Linked DNA regions of Canis lupus familiaris. The protein of the gene in region 2 purifies or fractionates together with the protein of the main gene of each other region. This does not show direct contact. Links are inferred from orthologs where the notes say so. Each region holds a gene or a part of one and is shown on either strand. Other genes may lie near its edges.

Region 1 (5,229 bases), on a different chromosome or scaffold from region 2:
CCTGTGTCTCTGCGCCTCTCTCTCTCTCTCTCTCTCTCTCTGTGGCTATCATAAATAAAAATAAAAAAAAAATTAAAAAAAAATTTAAAAAAATAATTGGCTGGAGCTAAAACAGTTGCCCCCTTTAATCCGCACCACTCACATAATGTATATCCATGTGCTCGCACCGTTCCAGTTTCCATCTTTGAACTTTACCTGACTTTAATGTATGTTTCTGAAATTGTATCCCAGACTAAGACTGTCTCTGCTTTCAAGGTACTCACCATCTAATTGGTGGGGCGCATCAGCCAAAAAATTCACAATACAGTGTGATAGAAAACAAATATAAAGGACAAAGTACAGCAGCAGTCTGAAAAAACATGAGTGCATACTGAATGGTGGAGGTACTGGTTTGGTAATGCATGTTGTCAAGAAAATGCCTTTGAAAAAAAAGAGATGGGAGAGGATTGCAGAGAGAGAATAGGATGTGCAAAGACATTGGAATGGGTGGGGAACTGTGTGTTTAGCAACTGAAGAGTTCAGTTTTGGAGAATCTAGTAAGAAGGAGAGAAGTAGGCTGACACTAGATGATAAAAGCCCCTTAATTTGGATTTTACCCTACAGAAATTGGTAGAATTTGAAATGGTTTGTCATTAAATTCTCAATCTAACTTTAATGCAGTTATGCCTGGATACCCTTACCATTCTCCTTCAAATGTCTTTGGACTTCGTTGGAGAAATAAATGCTGTACAATTCACAATATTCTATGAAATATTTCAATAGCAAATTACCACTTCAAGAAGCAGCTCTGTCTTCTAAAGAGTGGCTAAAATACAATTTTTTGATTTGCCTGCAAATTAAGTTTCCTTATCTGTAAAATGGGGATAATAATAGTACCTACCTCGGAGAGATTAAACCTATGGAGAATTAAACTCATTATGACTCATGTAAAGAACTCATCAGGGCACCTAATACAGGGTAAAAGTAGTCAGTTAATAGGAGTTATTATGATTATGGATTATGATATTTATTGAGACTTCCTTGTCTATTTTACCATCATTGAGAAAAGCTAACATTTCATTGAGTCAAATGTGTATTTTTCATCGAAAATTTAAGTAAAATCAAGCCTAGTGGCATCTTCAGGCTGTATGTAGTAAAAAAATGAATGCAAAAAATACTTGATGAAAATGGCAAGATAAAACTTCCTCCCTTTCTATATTGTTGATTGCAAGTGTTTCAAGAACGGTTTAAAGATTTTTGTGCAACATAAAAAGTACAAGTCATCGTCTGCACTTATTAATTAAAAAGCTTATTAACGATAATAAAGGTGCTTAGGTGGAAGTTTCTCCAGTTCCTCCAGGCTCAAAGAAAGGAAGAAAACCCTCAGGCAAAAGACCTTCTCACATCTGACAGTAACATCTTGGATGGCACTGGAGCTTGGACAATCATTTGGCGGGAAAAGAATAAATACGGTCCAAATTCACACAATCTGTTTCTGTTTAGTTTATAAACTGCGAGCGAGTCTGTCAGGTTTTGTGCCTTGTGGGACTTGAAGTCCACAAGCAAGAAGTGAACAGGGTTGCTGAAGCTTGGAAGGCGGCAGCCCCTGCAGGGCTGAGCAGTAAGGACTACGACTCCCGACACACATTGCAAGGCCGCGCCGTAATTACGGGCAACCAACCATCCCGGAGCAGGGGAAGCCCCACCCCCCCGGCTCGGAGGACTGCCTCCACCAATGGCAGAGCTCCCAGCTCAGAGCCTGCGGGTTAGGTTGTGAGGCACGGGCCGGGGGCGGGGAGGAGCTGAGGGGGTTCAGAACGCGCTCGGCCGCTGGGTGGGTCGGGGCGTTCGGCGCGCCCTTCATTGAAGCGGCGGTGGCTGGGCTGGGCGCCGGGAGTGGGAAGCGACGGCGCGGCTGGAAAATGCCAGTCCATTCCCGAGGGGATAAGAAGGAGACGAACCATCACGATGAGATGGAGGTGGACTACGCCGAAAACGAGGGGAGCAGCTCAGAGGACGAGGACACGGAAAGCTCGTCGGTCTCCGAGGATGGAGATAGCTCAGGTGTGCAAGCCAGCGGGGCCGGGAGCCGGAGTCCTCGCGCGGGGCGCACGACAGGCCGCTCTCCGCACGCCGGGCAGCTGCGTCCTGCTGGGAGTGCGGGGCGGGGAGAGAGGGAAGGGGCGGAGACTGGCTCCCGGCCCTCGGCAGCACCCGGACTCGTCGTGGGGCGCTGCCTGGCTCCAGGCGGGTCCCTGCCGGCGGGGCGGGACCGGGCGCGGGCCTGGGCTCGCCCAGCTCCGAGACGCTGCGCCGCCTTGCTCGCCGTGGGACCCGCCCAGGGGACCTCCGGGCAGTGCCCGGGACTGGACCAAAGCGGGAAATGCCCCGCAGCTTGTTTGGAAGACCTTGGAAATGCCTCTTGGCCCCAGACCACCGACTTCTTTCCTTTTTCTTTTCTTTTCTTTTTTTTAATCTTTCCAACCCTTCTCAACATGGGTGGGTTGTCAGGGCCGAGATTAGTTAGATTTGTGCTGGCTCTTGCTGGTTTAGAATTTGTTAATCGCAGTTTCCAAGCCTGTCAGTCAATACTTGACATTAGCACTCTTGCGGGGGCTGGAGCTGTCCCATTTACAGCATCTGTCTGAACTTTGCAAGACTAGAGGAGAGCCCACGTCAGGGGTGGTTTTGGGTCTTCATATATGCTTATAAATTGGCCGATTTGGAGCAGCTCTGAAATTTTCCAAATCTTTATTCCTGCGACCTTTTCTGATTTCGGGCTGCTTCAGGTTTTTTGGGTCGGAGGGCAGATTAATATCAAGGTCAATTTTGCAAACTTTTAGGATGGTTATTAAAAAAAGAAATGGGATATGTGATTGCCTGTATTATTTTTCTTCTTTCCATTTGACGAGGATGAAACTTTAATTTGTCCTGGCCTGATTTTGGCCGTGTAAAGCGAGGATTTGATGATGGTCAGTTATTGCCCTGACACCCTCTTTTTTTCAGGTTTCTCTTTCAAAGGTCTCCATGAAAGGATGTAATTTCAATCAATAAATTAGCCATCTCCAAATAGGCATTTATGAGTGATTTCCTTGAGCTGCATTGGGCACCACTCAGTATGAGGTATAAATAAATGGTTATGATCTGATCTCAATTAAACAGCTGTCATAAATCAGTACTTGAGTAAACTGCCAGATGAATACTTACCTGTAAACAATGCTTTAGGATTTCAGAGGCAGAGGAAATCTTTTCAGAATAGGGTGGCCAGCAAAGGCTAGTTGAAAACGTGGGCTTACTTTAATTATCTTGGAGAATGGATAGAATTTGGATGGTATAAATTCGGGTGGTATGTTGGATTGGGAGGAATGTAAGAAAAAGTGCAAAGGCTAGAGCTTAAGGCTTAAAAAAGTGAGAAACCAGTTTTGTTGGAAGAAGGACCTGAACTAGAAAAGGAAAAGAAGATACAAATGTGAAAGATTTCCCAAAAGGCACAAAACAGAATTGATGTATGCAAGTTTAGGAGTGAAGGTAGGAGAAAAAGCCCAGGTACAGGGAAAATGGTAGTAGCATGAATGGAAATAGAAAAGTGAAAAATTTGAGATGAAGATGCAAGATAGAGTATTTCAGACATGTTGTTTATGAGGTGATGGTGGTATATTTACTTCAGAGTGTCAATTGACAGTTGGAAATGTGGCATTGGAACCTGGCTGGGATTAGAAGCATAATTTGGAAGTCATCTGCCTAGCCATCAAAGTAGGTGAGATTTCAAAAGTGAGCAGTACAGAGAAAGAACATCTAGGCTGTACGTAAATACATTTTCTAGATCTGTAGAACACTTGATCTTCAAGTGTTCTTTGTTTTTTTGATGAGAACTAGGATCTCACGAAATGACATCTATTTGTTAAAGTTCTCCCTAATTTTTACGCTGGCTTTTGTAATTTTTCACTGATTTTTATTCTATCCCAATTAATAATGGACAACTTAATTTTGAAGCATGTAATAACAATTTGAATTACAAGTCAATTTTTAAGTGCAAGGACATCACTTAAATTATGCAGTTTTGCTTCTTGTGAAAGCATTTCTTTTCTGCTATATGTCTTTCATGTTAAACTTCCAGTTTTGTTCTTCTCAAACATTGGTACTGAGCAGATCCTAAAGCTACAAAATAAACTCTACTATCCAGAGATATTGGAAAATGAGTCATCTTGAGGGACCAAGTTTTAAATAGCCAAGGAGTAACCTATTAAGAGCCAGAAATAATTTTAATGTTAGGAAAGTTAAATGAACTCTATAGTTACTTGCTGTTTGAAAATAACTGAACATAACTTAATTCTTTCACATAGTTTGACGTTTATTTGCAGATCAAGATGCAGATCATCTTGTGTTTCACTTATCTTGAAGTGCTGAATATATGTGATGTAAAAATAGAAGATATGGAATATAGGAAGAGAGCTGCTGATTAACAGTTGCTTTACTTGAAAAGTTTGCTTGTTTTTCTCTTCATTTTCCTTTTTTTCTCACAATATTTTGGGGAGAGGGAACAATGAGAATCTGAGTAGGAGACTAAGATATCTTGTAAATAGAATGAGATTAGTTTTCTTTTTATGTGACTGGCAAATCAGTCATGTAAGCAGTTCTGAAAGAATTCCAAAAGTGTTTTTGAGCACTATTCTTTAATGGACATAATCATTTTGGTGCTTAAGTTCTGTGGAGTTGATGGAAAATAAGCCCAGAATGGATTAATTACTTCATATAGTATAGCTTGATGTCAGCTCTTTAAAATGATTTAAAAATGAATAAAAATAAGAAGGTCTAGAGATTGCTATAGCTTTAACTGTCATTTGTACTTTAAGCTGAAATCTGTAGTGGAAATTATTTTGGATAAATGTTTATTTTCTCTAAAGGCTTTTTAAAAACATTATTTATTTATTCATGAAAGACATAGAGAAAGACTGGCAGAGACACAGGCAGAGAGAGAAGCAGGCTTCATGCAGGGAGCCCAAAGTCGGGCTCGATCCCAGGAACCTGGGATCATTCCCTGAGCCGAAGGCAGACGCTCAACTGCTGAGCACCCAGGCAACCCTTTTCTCTTAAGGCTTAATATAAGCCTTGCATATCTAACTTCATATTATAGTTTTGTGTGTGTGGTTTTTTTGTTTTGTTTTTTACCATTTGAACTAACATTCAGATAATTTGGAACATAAAATTAATTTCTTCTTTGCTATTTGCCTTTTATTAACAGAAATGGAT
Region 2 (4,743 bases):
TCTTAATTAAAAAAAAAAAAAAAAAAAACTTTGATACGGATTACATCCCTTTATAGATTCCTCATAATTTTAAGAAGTAAATAATTCGGTAAAGTATATCATTTTACGTAAGTTTGGAGGCTCACAAAGGCCAAGTGACTCAAATGGCTAATAAAGGATCAGAGCCAGATATCAGAGACCATGTGTGACTCCAATGCTGAAATCCACCTGTCCCTATAACCAGTTTTTATAATTTCTTTAGAGTCTCAATTATGATTCCCACTATGCCTAGACAGTAATAATAAAACCGTGTCAGAGACATTAAAACCCTAGACTTTATTTTTTTTTAAAGATTTTATTTATTTATTCATAAATAAAATGAGAGAGAGGCAGAGACACAGACAGAGGGAGAAGCAGGCTCCATGCAAGGAGCCCGATGTGGGACTCGATCCTGGGTCTCCAGGATCACACCCCAGGCTGCAAGCTGTGCCAAACCGCTGCGCCACCAGGGCTGCCCAAAACCCTAGACTTTAAATAATAAAATAAAATTTAAAAAGCAGAACAGAAAAGAAAAAAGGAAGAGAAAAAAGAAATCAACCAACTACTCGAGAATTTGTCCTTCAGTAATAAAATCATGTTATTTACTAGGTTAATTACTGGGTATTATCAGTTAAAATATCTTTTTTTTCATTCATGAGAGACACAGAAAGAGACAGGCAGAGACACCGGCAGAGGGAGAAGCAGGCTCCATGCAGGGAGCCTGACGTGGGACTCAATCCCAGGACTCCAGGATCACACCCGGAGCTGAAGGCAGACACTAAACCGCTGAGCCACCCAGGGATCCCCAAAATGTCTTTATTTTAAAGCATCTCTTGATAAAGAGGACTTTTTCCCTTCATGGCTTGTTATAATACTAAGGGCGTTAAACTGAGTATCTGTGAAGCCAAATACATTAGTCATTCTTACCTAGGAACACCTTTTAAACAAAGCCACAGAACAGCTTCTTTTATTTTCTAGTAAGACTAAATTTATTCAATACCCTAAGTAAAAGTTTTGATTATAAGTATCCAACAGTATAAAAAGTACAAAACAGATTTGTAGATTTCTAATATATTAATACAAAGTGCATGACTACATACAGTACATCCTACAGGCAAAGAGGTGGAAGGGGATGAAGAAGACTGTGGTTGAGGTCTAGCAATAAATAAATAAATACAGAAGTAGAGATGATCCATATTATAGTATATTCTACCACCAATACTGTAGCCAAAATGTACAAAAACAAAAAGCAAAAAAACAAAAAAACAAACCATTTCAAAATGACAGGAGGAAGATGATCATGGCCGGGACTCTTGTAACACACCTCAACGGCTGTGGGAGAGCCAACCCAACTCACTGTGTAGTCTGTGCATATATGGTGGCTTGTAGTTTTTGCCATAAGGAAGAAATATAAAATTTTAAGTTTAGATTAAGAACTATAAAACTATAGGGTGCCCATAAAAAGTGGCTCACTCCTTATTGTTATTTATACTATCCAATTTTAAAAATCCAGTTTTAAAAATAAGCACTGAGTCATGTTAATATAAGGTAGGCAAATGATCCTCCCTTATTATGAAAAGTATGATCTGGTGATACATTTTTTCTGAACATTTAGAAAAGAGGCAATGAGAGTACTTTGGTTTGGGTTCAAGTAAAAGGCTTTCAAATGAAGATTTTAGAACTGAAGAGCTCCATGTTCAGGATGTATCGTCTAATATCTCAAGGTTCAAAAAGCCTGACTAGAAGAAACCAAACCTAAGCCAACCCACTCAGCATTAACACACACCTCTTTTCTTTTAGTAGAATTTTACTTTAATATGTGAAAAAAAAAAAAAAAAAAATACCACCCAAAACCCTAATAGGTTAAAACAAGTCAAACAACCACTCTACACAGATAAAACCTTCACAAAGGTCAACTGAAGTAATCCAGAGCTAAAACTGAATTGTGCAGATTTTCGATGAAGTCACCAGTCATGTAACACAAACAAAAGTCAATTATTTACACACTAGGCAAGCCCTCTAAGAAATGTGCCCCAAGAAGCATTAACCTTTGTTTTTTTGTGTGCGCCATCCTGAAGACTTGCACATTTTTTTAAGATAATTTAACCTTTTTAACAGAATGTGATCTCTACCAGGTGGTAATGCTTTGGTACTATTCATCTAGGACTGCTCATCCTAAAACTTGACATTTCCCCAAAGATTTGACTCTGCTTTAGAAGTTTCAATATAGATAAAAATCTTTTATCAAATATCAATATGGAGGTGACACAGGATGCAACATATACAGTCAGGTTACCTCTCTGTATATTTAGAGATTACTCCTTCAAGGTATTTGCGCCAGAGCTTAGTCTGTCCTGCTTCATATTCAGTAGTACAGGTTTGAATCATCAGAACCTTGGCAAGACCTTATTTTTTCAGAATTATTAACAACTACCTCTAGGGGCAAGTCCATGTTACTGAGTTATGACAAATTTATTATCGTGAAGGAAAACAAGGATAGCCGTCTTAAAAAATGCCCCAACCACTGCTTCTCAATATAGAAAGACTAAAACTACATACGTTTATCATACAACAAATCCCATCTCTGTCCCCTGAAATTCCCCTAGTTTCATTCATTAGAAGGGGATTAAAAAAAAAAAAGACTTAAAGAGCACTTTACAGCAGCATTCAGCTTTCCTATGAAATACTCAGCATCTTAAATATTATGTACACTTCTTTTTTTCTTTCAGTAAGCTAGACACTGGCTTCAGAGTTTGTGGAACTGGAGAAGAAATAACCCATTCAAAACTATTCTAGAAATTGTCTTTTGGCAGAATAGCATGTATCCAAGTTAAAAATAGGAGGGTTTTGTTGCTTTGTTTTCTTTCCAAAATTTAAATCATTTTTGTTCCCCTTCTACCTAAACCTCAGTCACCACTCCTGAGTGGAGATGGGCAGAGGCTCTGGCCCCTGCTCCTCCGGCTTCTCAGCAGCTGCTTTCTTGTTGCTGCAGCAAGGCTTGAATAGATGTGTGTCAATGAGGACTTCCCCAAAACGGCCTTTATAGATAATTCCACAACATATTTTCTGTCTAAAAGAAAAAAAAGGGGGTGGGGGAGAAATATATTAATAAGGTAGAAAACTAGTAATACAAGAAAACAAAAAAAGGGGGGAGAAATCTATAACACTGTAACAATACAACATGATCAAAGGGTTCACTTCTCTGGTCTCATCACATTTCAAATGAAGGCTCCTAGAAAGGCCCCCAATTAGCTAAGTTATAGGAATTACCCAGGTCCCTTAAATCCCACACTGGAATCTTACCAAGTATTAAAGGGGACAGGGGTCATTCTGAGATAACAGTTTCAGAAACGGCTCCTAAAGTTATAAACTGTTTCCTCTAAAAATCAGTAACTCTTTTTTTTTTTTTTTTTAAAGATTTTATTTATTTATTCATGAGAATACACAGAGAGGAGAGAGACAGGCAGAGACACAGGCAGAGGGAGAAGCAGGCTCCATGCAGGGAGCCCGACGTGGGACTCGATCCCGGGTTCCCAGGATCACGCCCTGAGCTGCAGGCGGCACTAAACCGCTGAGCCACCGGGGCTGCCCAAAATCAGTAACTCTTGAAAAAAAACCCAGCCATCATAAACAGGCTGATACAACTGGCAAATATATATAATCAAATATACACCACAGCTTAAAAAAACGAGAGTACAACAAAACACCATGGACCACATATAAGGGAAAAAAAAGAACCTTTTCCTATGAAGTTCCCCTCTATGCCCCTCTCCAATTCCACCCCACCCCATCTCATTCTCTCCTCTTAATTTTAAGCCTATCATTACTTTTTTCTTTACACTTCATGGTTTTACCATGTCTGCATCTCTACATATATTGCTCGGTTATGTCCAATTAATTAAAAAAACAACACATATATGGAGTCACACTCTATCCTGCAATTTTTTTTTGCTCAACATTAATTGAGGTTCATACCTATTGTTAGGGCTTTTATTTCATTTTATGTATCATATTCTATCAAGTGAATATACCATAATTTATTTATCCACTCTCCTTTGGATGGGACAACTGCTATTATAAACATGCCATACACGTTAATGCATGCCTAAAGGTTTTTTTTTTTTTTCCTAAAGGTTTTTTATAGGTTCTGTTGCTGGGATATAAAATGGAAACATGTTTGTGTTTACCCAAAAATGCCAGTTATTTATCAATGTGGTTCCTTTCTATTCCTATTAACTAATAAGGGTTTTATCTTAAACCCTGATGAACATTCAGATTTGTCAAACATCTTTAAAGTACTGCTAAGATAGTAGGCATTTGGGGGCGTCTGGGTAGCTCAGTAGGTTAAGTGTCTGCCTTCATAGGCAGGATCCCAAGGTCCTAGGATCAAGTCCTACATTGGGTTCCCTGCTCAGTGGGGAGCCTAACTTCTCCCTCTCCCTCTGCTGCTCCTCCTGCTTGTGCTTTCTGTGTCAAATAAATAAAAATTAAATCCTAAAAAAAAAAAAAAAAAATAGGTATTTCCCCCTTTCTTTACAAACTGTCAACATGGCAACTTTATTATCAGTTGATTTTTAATTAGTTTAATCCAATCTTACATCACTAGAATAAACCTAATCTGGTCATGATATACTCTTTTAGTATCAAAGTTATGTTAGCCTCATAGAATGCTTGGGGCCTCTGCTCTTTTACTCAAAATCTGAAAAAGCCAATGCAAGATCAGAA
Region 3 (5,231 bases), on a different chromosome or scaffold from region 2:
CTCTTATTCTCCCAGAAGCCACATGAAAGAAGTTGGATGCTACTGCTGATTTTCTAATGCAGGCTAGAGGCATAACAGTAAGTGAAGGCAGCAACAGCAGCTGAGAGATGAACATGTTTTTATTTAAGAATGTAAGTACTAGGGGTGGCTGGAGGAGCCACTCGGAACCCTAACCAAAACGAAGCCCTGTGTAAATGACTTGGGGTTGTTGACACTGGAACAGATGCTACACAAATGTTCTAGAGAGACTTCTGAATTTGAATTTATTCCTTATAAATTTATACAGACAAAAATAAGCTGATAGGAAGCCAGCATCAATTAATTCAGGCCTTCTCATGGAGAAAATAATGAAACTTGCTTTTTAGTCAGATGAATCACCACTTTCATGTGGTTGGATTGGTGAGTCCTGAGCACTTTTAAGCTGCTACTGTGACTGTATCTTGCAGACAGCAGGTATTCTCTAAGTGCACTTGCACCAGGACAGGCAGCCCCTGCCGTCCAAAAGCAGCTTAGGCCAGCAAAAGCTGCCCTTACGTATGGCTACAGAGTCAAGTAGCTTTGCCAGTGTCAACTCTGCCACAGGACTTTCAGACACAGCTTGTGTCACCGTCCCAATGAATCCCGCCTAGTTGATGTATAGACCGCCGGACATGCTTTTGGCAGGGAAGAAAGCACACGCACACCATACTCTCTGTTCCTGATGGGAAGCTGGCCCTCACGTTAGCCAGTTCCACATGTAAGCCCGGAGATTAAGCAGCTCCTCAAATTCACAGTGGCATGCTTGGTAGAACAGACAGCGGAGGGGGCTTCCTGAAGCTGTGGCCAGGAGGTTTTAGGTCAGGACACTAGAATAATGGAATTCTGGATGGAAGAGAACTTAGAATCACCAGTGTAACCCCACTGGCCCCAATCTCATTTTCTACAGAGATAAACAGAAGCCACACAGATGGGGTTGTGAGCTTGGCCAAGGTCACCCACGCCTTCTGACCCCTTGTGCATGTCCTTTCCTACCACAACATTTTCTTTATACTATTCTCAACTTCCATTTTTCTCCAGAATAAAGCAGAAATATGTCAATTGGAGGAATGCTTGATTGCATGTTATATATTAATAACTCATAGAGCACTGCCAATGTCTACATGAAATGAGTTTGCCTGAGTTGGATTTCTGGTGCTATTATTTTAAAAGGTTTTCTGCTAGGCCCTTTTACAAGATAAATAGTCATTATTTCTCCTTAATGATTTTCAAGTACGTACTGATTTTCAGAAATTTCAGAGCTCAGTGGCCTTTGGGGGCTAGGGGTGGAGGAACGAGGGTGGTGGCAAAAGCCCCAGTGTTTTTCTTTTCTGTTTCACTTTCTGCAACAGCTAAAATTCTTGTGACACGGCAGTTACTTAGAATTGAATTCCTGCCCAAGCCTGTGAGAACGAAGTAGAATCCCCCTTCAGAAATAATGATTTTATACCACCACCTTGAAACAAATTGTGAGTGATTCCACCTTGAAACACTACTCCTCCAGAAACATTACTTTTGGGGAACTCTAGTGCCACATTCATGCGGCCTCTCTCCTAGACATTGTGTGTGAAACCACCAACATAGCTCAACACAGGTTTTCCAGTGGGGTCACTGGGTAAATGGACCCCGAGTGGCAGCACAGTTGTTCAGATGTCATGGCATCCAAGAATTTAAAAGAACTGGAAATTTCTTTTTCTTTCTTTCTTTTTTTTTTAAGGACTGGAAAATATTATAAGCTGTTCAAGTAAAGGCTCCCAACCACCTACACAAAAGGTAGGCAGTGTTTCCAAGAGGATAAATTCACTGCTGTCTTAGAATTAGGCATTTCACTTCAACACATGTCCTAATCTGGACCTCCTTAGTGTCTAGCCAGTTGTTTGCTCTCTGAATTCCTTTCATTCACTCATTGGTACAGATTTGTAGTAAGAAAGCCATTAACTGACAACCCCCCCCTCCCCCGGCCTTTTAAAAAAACAGCATCTTTCAAGAGTGGCAAATATATTGATTGTTACCTTAAAAGAAAGGCGGGGGAGGAGGGGAATGGGAGGGAAGAGCCTGAAAGAAGAGGCAGTAAGATTTTTTATTTATTTAGACCTAATCAAAGCTTATGCATAGTGTTCAGAAGAAAGTCAGATAATGGGTTTAAGAAATTAACCAGCCTCTTAGTCACTGTGTGACTTTGGCCTGGTCACTTCTTATCTCTAGGCCTCAGTGTCCACTCTAAGATCCGAAGCAGAAAAGTGTGTGTCCTTTCAGTTTAACAAGCAATCTCTAATTTTCCCCAACAGTGGAATTTTGGTCCTAAAGGAGACTGGATATTAACCACCTGAGCTCTTAGCTGGTCTACCTGAATATTAAAGGCACCCTTAACTCATTTCCAATTCCTAATCACAAGGCAGCCACTTAAGGCTTGCAGCAACAGATGTCAAACTAAAAAGTTCTTAATTGGTTGACAATAGGCACATCTTTAGAATTGTTAACTAGAAGTGGTGAAATCACACAGGAAAAGTTTTCCTATAATTAGGCACAAAACACAGGGCGATTCTATTCAAATGTAACGCCCCTTCTCCAACTGCCTTTCTAAAGAAGCTACCCGTAAGAAAATGGATTTTCTTCCTCCTGGTCACTTGGACTGCAGACAGCCACCTCCCAAGACCTGGTCTTGGCCTTATTTCCGCCACATCCTTGAAAATCCCATTTCCCCGCAGCTGCATGCGAAGCAGCAAGCAGCGAGCTCGGTGACCCTCTGCAGAAGCCGAGGCGGTGGCTTGAGGCGGTGGGGTGGGGGGAAGTAACTGCCCCCTTTCCTTTTCTGAAGCGATCACAGGGTTCCGAGGAGAGAGCAGTTGAAGAGCCGGGTCCCTTCATCGCCCCTCCCCAACACTTGCAGCTTCGTGGGCCAACAGGATTAACCCAGGTCTCCCTGCCCCAGTATCAAAACCAATACCGCAAGCCCTCAACTGCCGTCAGACCTTCCCAGGCAGGAAAGGTCCTCGGAACACCGCCGCCCCCCGCCCCCCCCCGGACCCCAGCCTCCCGGATTTGGGCAGGATCCCAGTCCGAGCCTGCCAGAGCTGAAGCGGCCTTTGAAATCCCGAGTGCAACTCCCCAGTTTGCAGATAAAGGGCGGCGAGGCCCAGGGCGGGGAGGGCCCCGGGGGTCCGGCCCGCAGCCGGGGACGGCGGCCGAGGGGGGCGGCGCGCGGGGGCCCGGCGGGGGCCCGGCGGGGGCGGGGGCGGGGGCGGACTCACGCTCTTGTCGATGTCCAGCTTGAGTTTCTTCTGCGAGATGCTCTTCTGGACCCTCTTGCTGAAGGAGGCGTTGCCCGCGGGCCGGACGCAGCGCTCGCCGTCCTCGATGAGGCAGCAGCTCTGGCCGTAGCCCGGGGCGGCGGCGGGGGCGGCGGGGGGCCCTTCGCGGCTGTCCTCCTCCGTGCTGAAGCCGTTCATCTCCCCGCCCCGGGCCGGCCCCTCTGCGGGGGGGTCCCCGGCAGGCCACTCCGCGGCCGCGCGCCCCGCGGGGCAGGTCGCCCAGGCCCCCGCGCCCGAGGGTCCCGGAGTCCGTCCGCAGACGCGGCGCTGCCCTGCCCCGCGCCGGGGAGGCCCGGCTCCGCTCCGCCGCGCTCGCGCTCCTCCGGCCGCCGGCCCCGCGCCTCGGGGAAGCCCCTTCCTCCCCGCTCGAGGCCCCGGGGTCGGCTGCCGCGGCTCGCAGGGCCCCGCCGGGGGTCACCCGGAGGCGCCTGCCGCCGGGGGCCCGGAACCGCTGCCGTTCGGCGGGGGCGTCCGGGAAGGCGCCCCAGGAAGCAGCCGCTCCCCGGGGACTCCGGGCCCGGCTCGCCAGGGGGTTCCGAGGGCCCCCGCCGGCTCCCGCCTTCTTTCGGCTGCGGGGCAAACTCACCGCCGGGCAGCTCCCCCGGGGCGGCGCGGCCTCCCGCGCCGGGCCCGGCCTCGAACCCGCGGCGCCCGGGCCCCGGGGCGCGTCCGGCTCGCCCCACCCCTGCAGCCGCTCGGCTGCGCCCCGAGTCCCGCGGCAGCCCCTGGGCCGCCCAGCCGCCGCCCGCCCGACGCGCCGCACCACAACAGTTCGCTCCCCCGCCCTCCGCGGGACAGCGGAAGTCCCGCCTCCGCGCGCCCATTGGCCGTGCTCACCCTCTGGGCGGGGCCGCCGCCGCCGCTGGCGCGCCCCATTGGGCGCCTCCGCCGCCAGTCCCCGGCGCCTGGCTACTTCCTGGACTCTGCTGGGATGGGTTCAAAGTAGAGAAAGTGCGAGAGGGAAGAGTTGCCCGGGTGCGGGCGGGGAAGCGGCCGCTGACTTTCAGGCCGGGGGAGGGATGGTGAGCCGGGGCCTGACTGGACGGAGGGCCAGACTCCAGGACAGAGGAGCACGCTCGGCGGCGTACAGTACTGCGCGGGCGGGGCGCGGAGGGGCATCTGAGGGGGACCGGCGCGGCTGGGGGTTCTGTCCTGGGAAGGACGCGCGGGGAGAACGCGGGGGCCGCGGCCCGGGTCGGGGGACGCGGCGGCAAGGGCTGAGCGACGGGCAGCCGGGCGCAGACGCGGGGAAGGGCTTGCAGAGGAGATGATGGGGTCTGACGGCGGGTGTTGCGAGGCAGTCGGATGCCGAGGGGGGCGGAGACCCGGGCCGCGCGGGGAGCGGGAGGGAGGGAGGCAGGGAGGCAGGGGCCCCCGGGGCGCTTGGGAGACCCCTCGGCCGGGAAGAGTCGGAGGCGGGGGGAGGTCTGCGGGGTGGGCTCGAGGAACCGCCGGGGACCCGAGGAAGAGGTCGGGGCGGGGAGGATGAGGGCCCGCGTCCGCCAGGGGGAAGTGCTCGCAGCGTCCCGAGCCCTCCCCGCGGCTCTCAGCGGCGGCTGCTGTGGCTCTCAGCCTCCCGAGGTATCCGCGAGGTGACCGTGCCCTGCCGACTCCCCGAGCTCGGGGCTGGGCGCCAGGGCGTCGCACACACCCAGCAGGGCCTCGGGGAAATCTAGGCTAGCACCCCAGGCCGGCCGCCGCCGGGCAGCTGGCGGGCACACCCGGGCCTCTGGCCCACGGCGACGAGCCCAGGTCCCGCAGTCGGGCCCGCGCCTGGGGACGGGTTAGCACTGACCGGGGCAGGATGGGGCGGGGGCGGGGGCGGGGGCGGGGGTAGGCTTGGCATTCTAGAGGCTTCTGGTTTGTATCTTGATGAAAAAGGGCAAGCTACCGGTTTCCATGTTT

The links. Proteins that work in one complex are often made in the same cells at the same time.
Region 1: the proteins of SINHCAF (region 2) and BRMS1L purify together in Homo sapiens (affinity purification with mass spectrometry; 3 studies listed by BioGRID and IntAct, counting the BioPlex papers as one, with this or other methods). This does not show direct contact. The link is inferred for Canis lupus familiaris from reciprocal best matches to the Homo sapiens genes SINHCAF and BRMS1L.
Region 3: the proteins of SINHCAF (region 2) and SAP30L purify together in Homo sapiens (affinity purification with mass spectrometry; 3 studies listed by BioGRID and IntAct, counting the BioPlex papers as one, with this or other methods). This does not show direct contact. The link is inferred for Canis lupus familiaris from reciprocal best matches to the Homo sapiens genes SINHCAF and SAP30L.

What each region holds. Positions count from the first base shown.
Region 1 is NC_049229.1:14,648,148-14,653,376, forward strand, and holds the start of BRMS1L (breast cancer metastasis-suppressor 1-like protein), read left to right. Parts: upstream 1-1,750; 5' UTR 1,751-1,901; coding exon 1,902-2,043; intron 2,044-2,996; exon of another isoform or gene 2,997-3,102; intron 3,103-5,221; coding exon 5,222-5,229. UniProt on the Homo sapiens protein: Involved in the histone deacetylase (HDAC1)-dependent transcriptional repression activity. When overexpressed in lung cancer cell line that lacks p53/TP53 expression, inhibits cell growth.
Region 2 is NC_049248.1:29,113,422-29,118,164, forward strand, and holds the end of SINHCAF (SIN3-HDAC complex-associated factor), read right to left. Parts: intron 3,089-4,743; coding exon 2,929-3,088; 3' UTR 984-2,928; downstream 1-983. UniProt on the Homo sapiens protein: Subunit of the Sin3 deacetylase complex (Sin3/HDAC), this subunit is important for the repression of genes encoding components of the TGF-beta signaling pathway.
Region 3 is NC_049225.1:56,124,047-56,129,277, forward strand, and holds the start of SAP30L (histone deacetylase complex subunit SAP30L), read right to left. Parts: upstream 3,480-5,231; 5' UTR 3,465-3,479; coding exon 3,267-3,464; intron 1-3,266. Other genes in the region: uncharacterized protein LOC111095576, read left to right, coding at 4,346-4,415.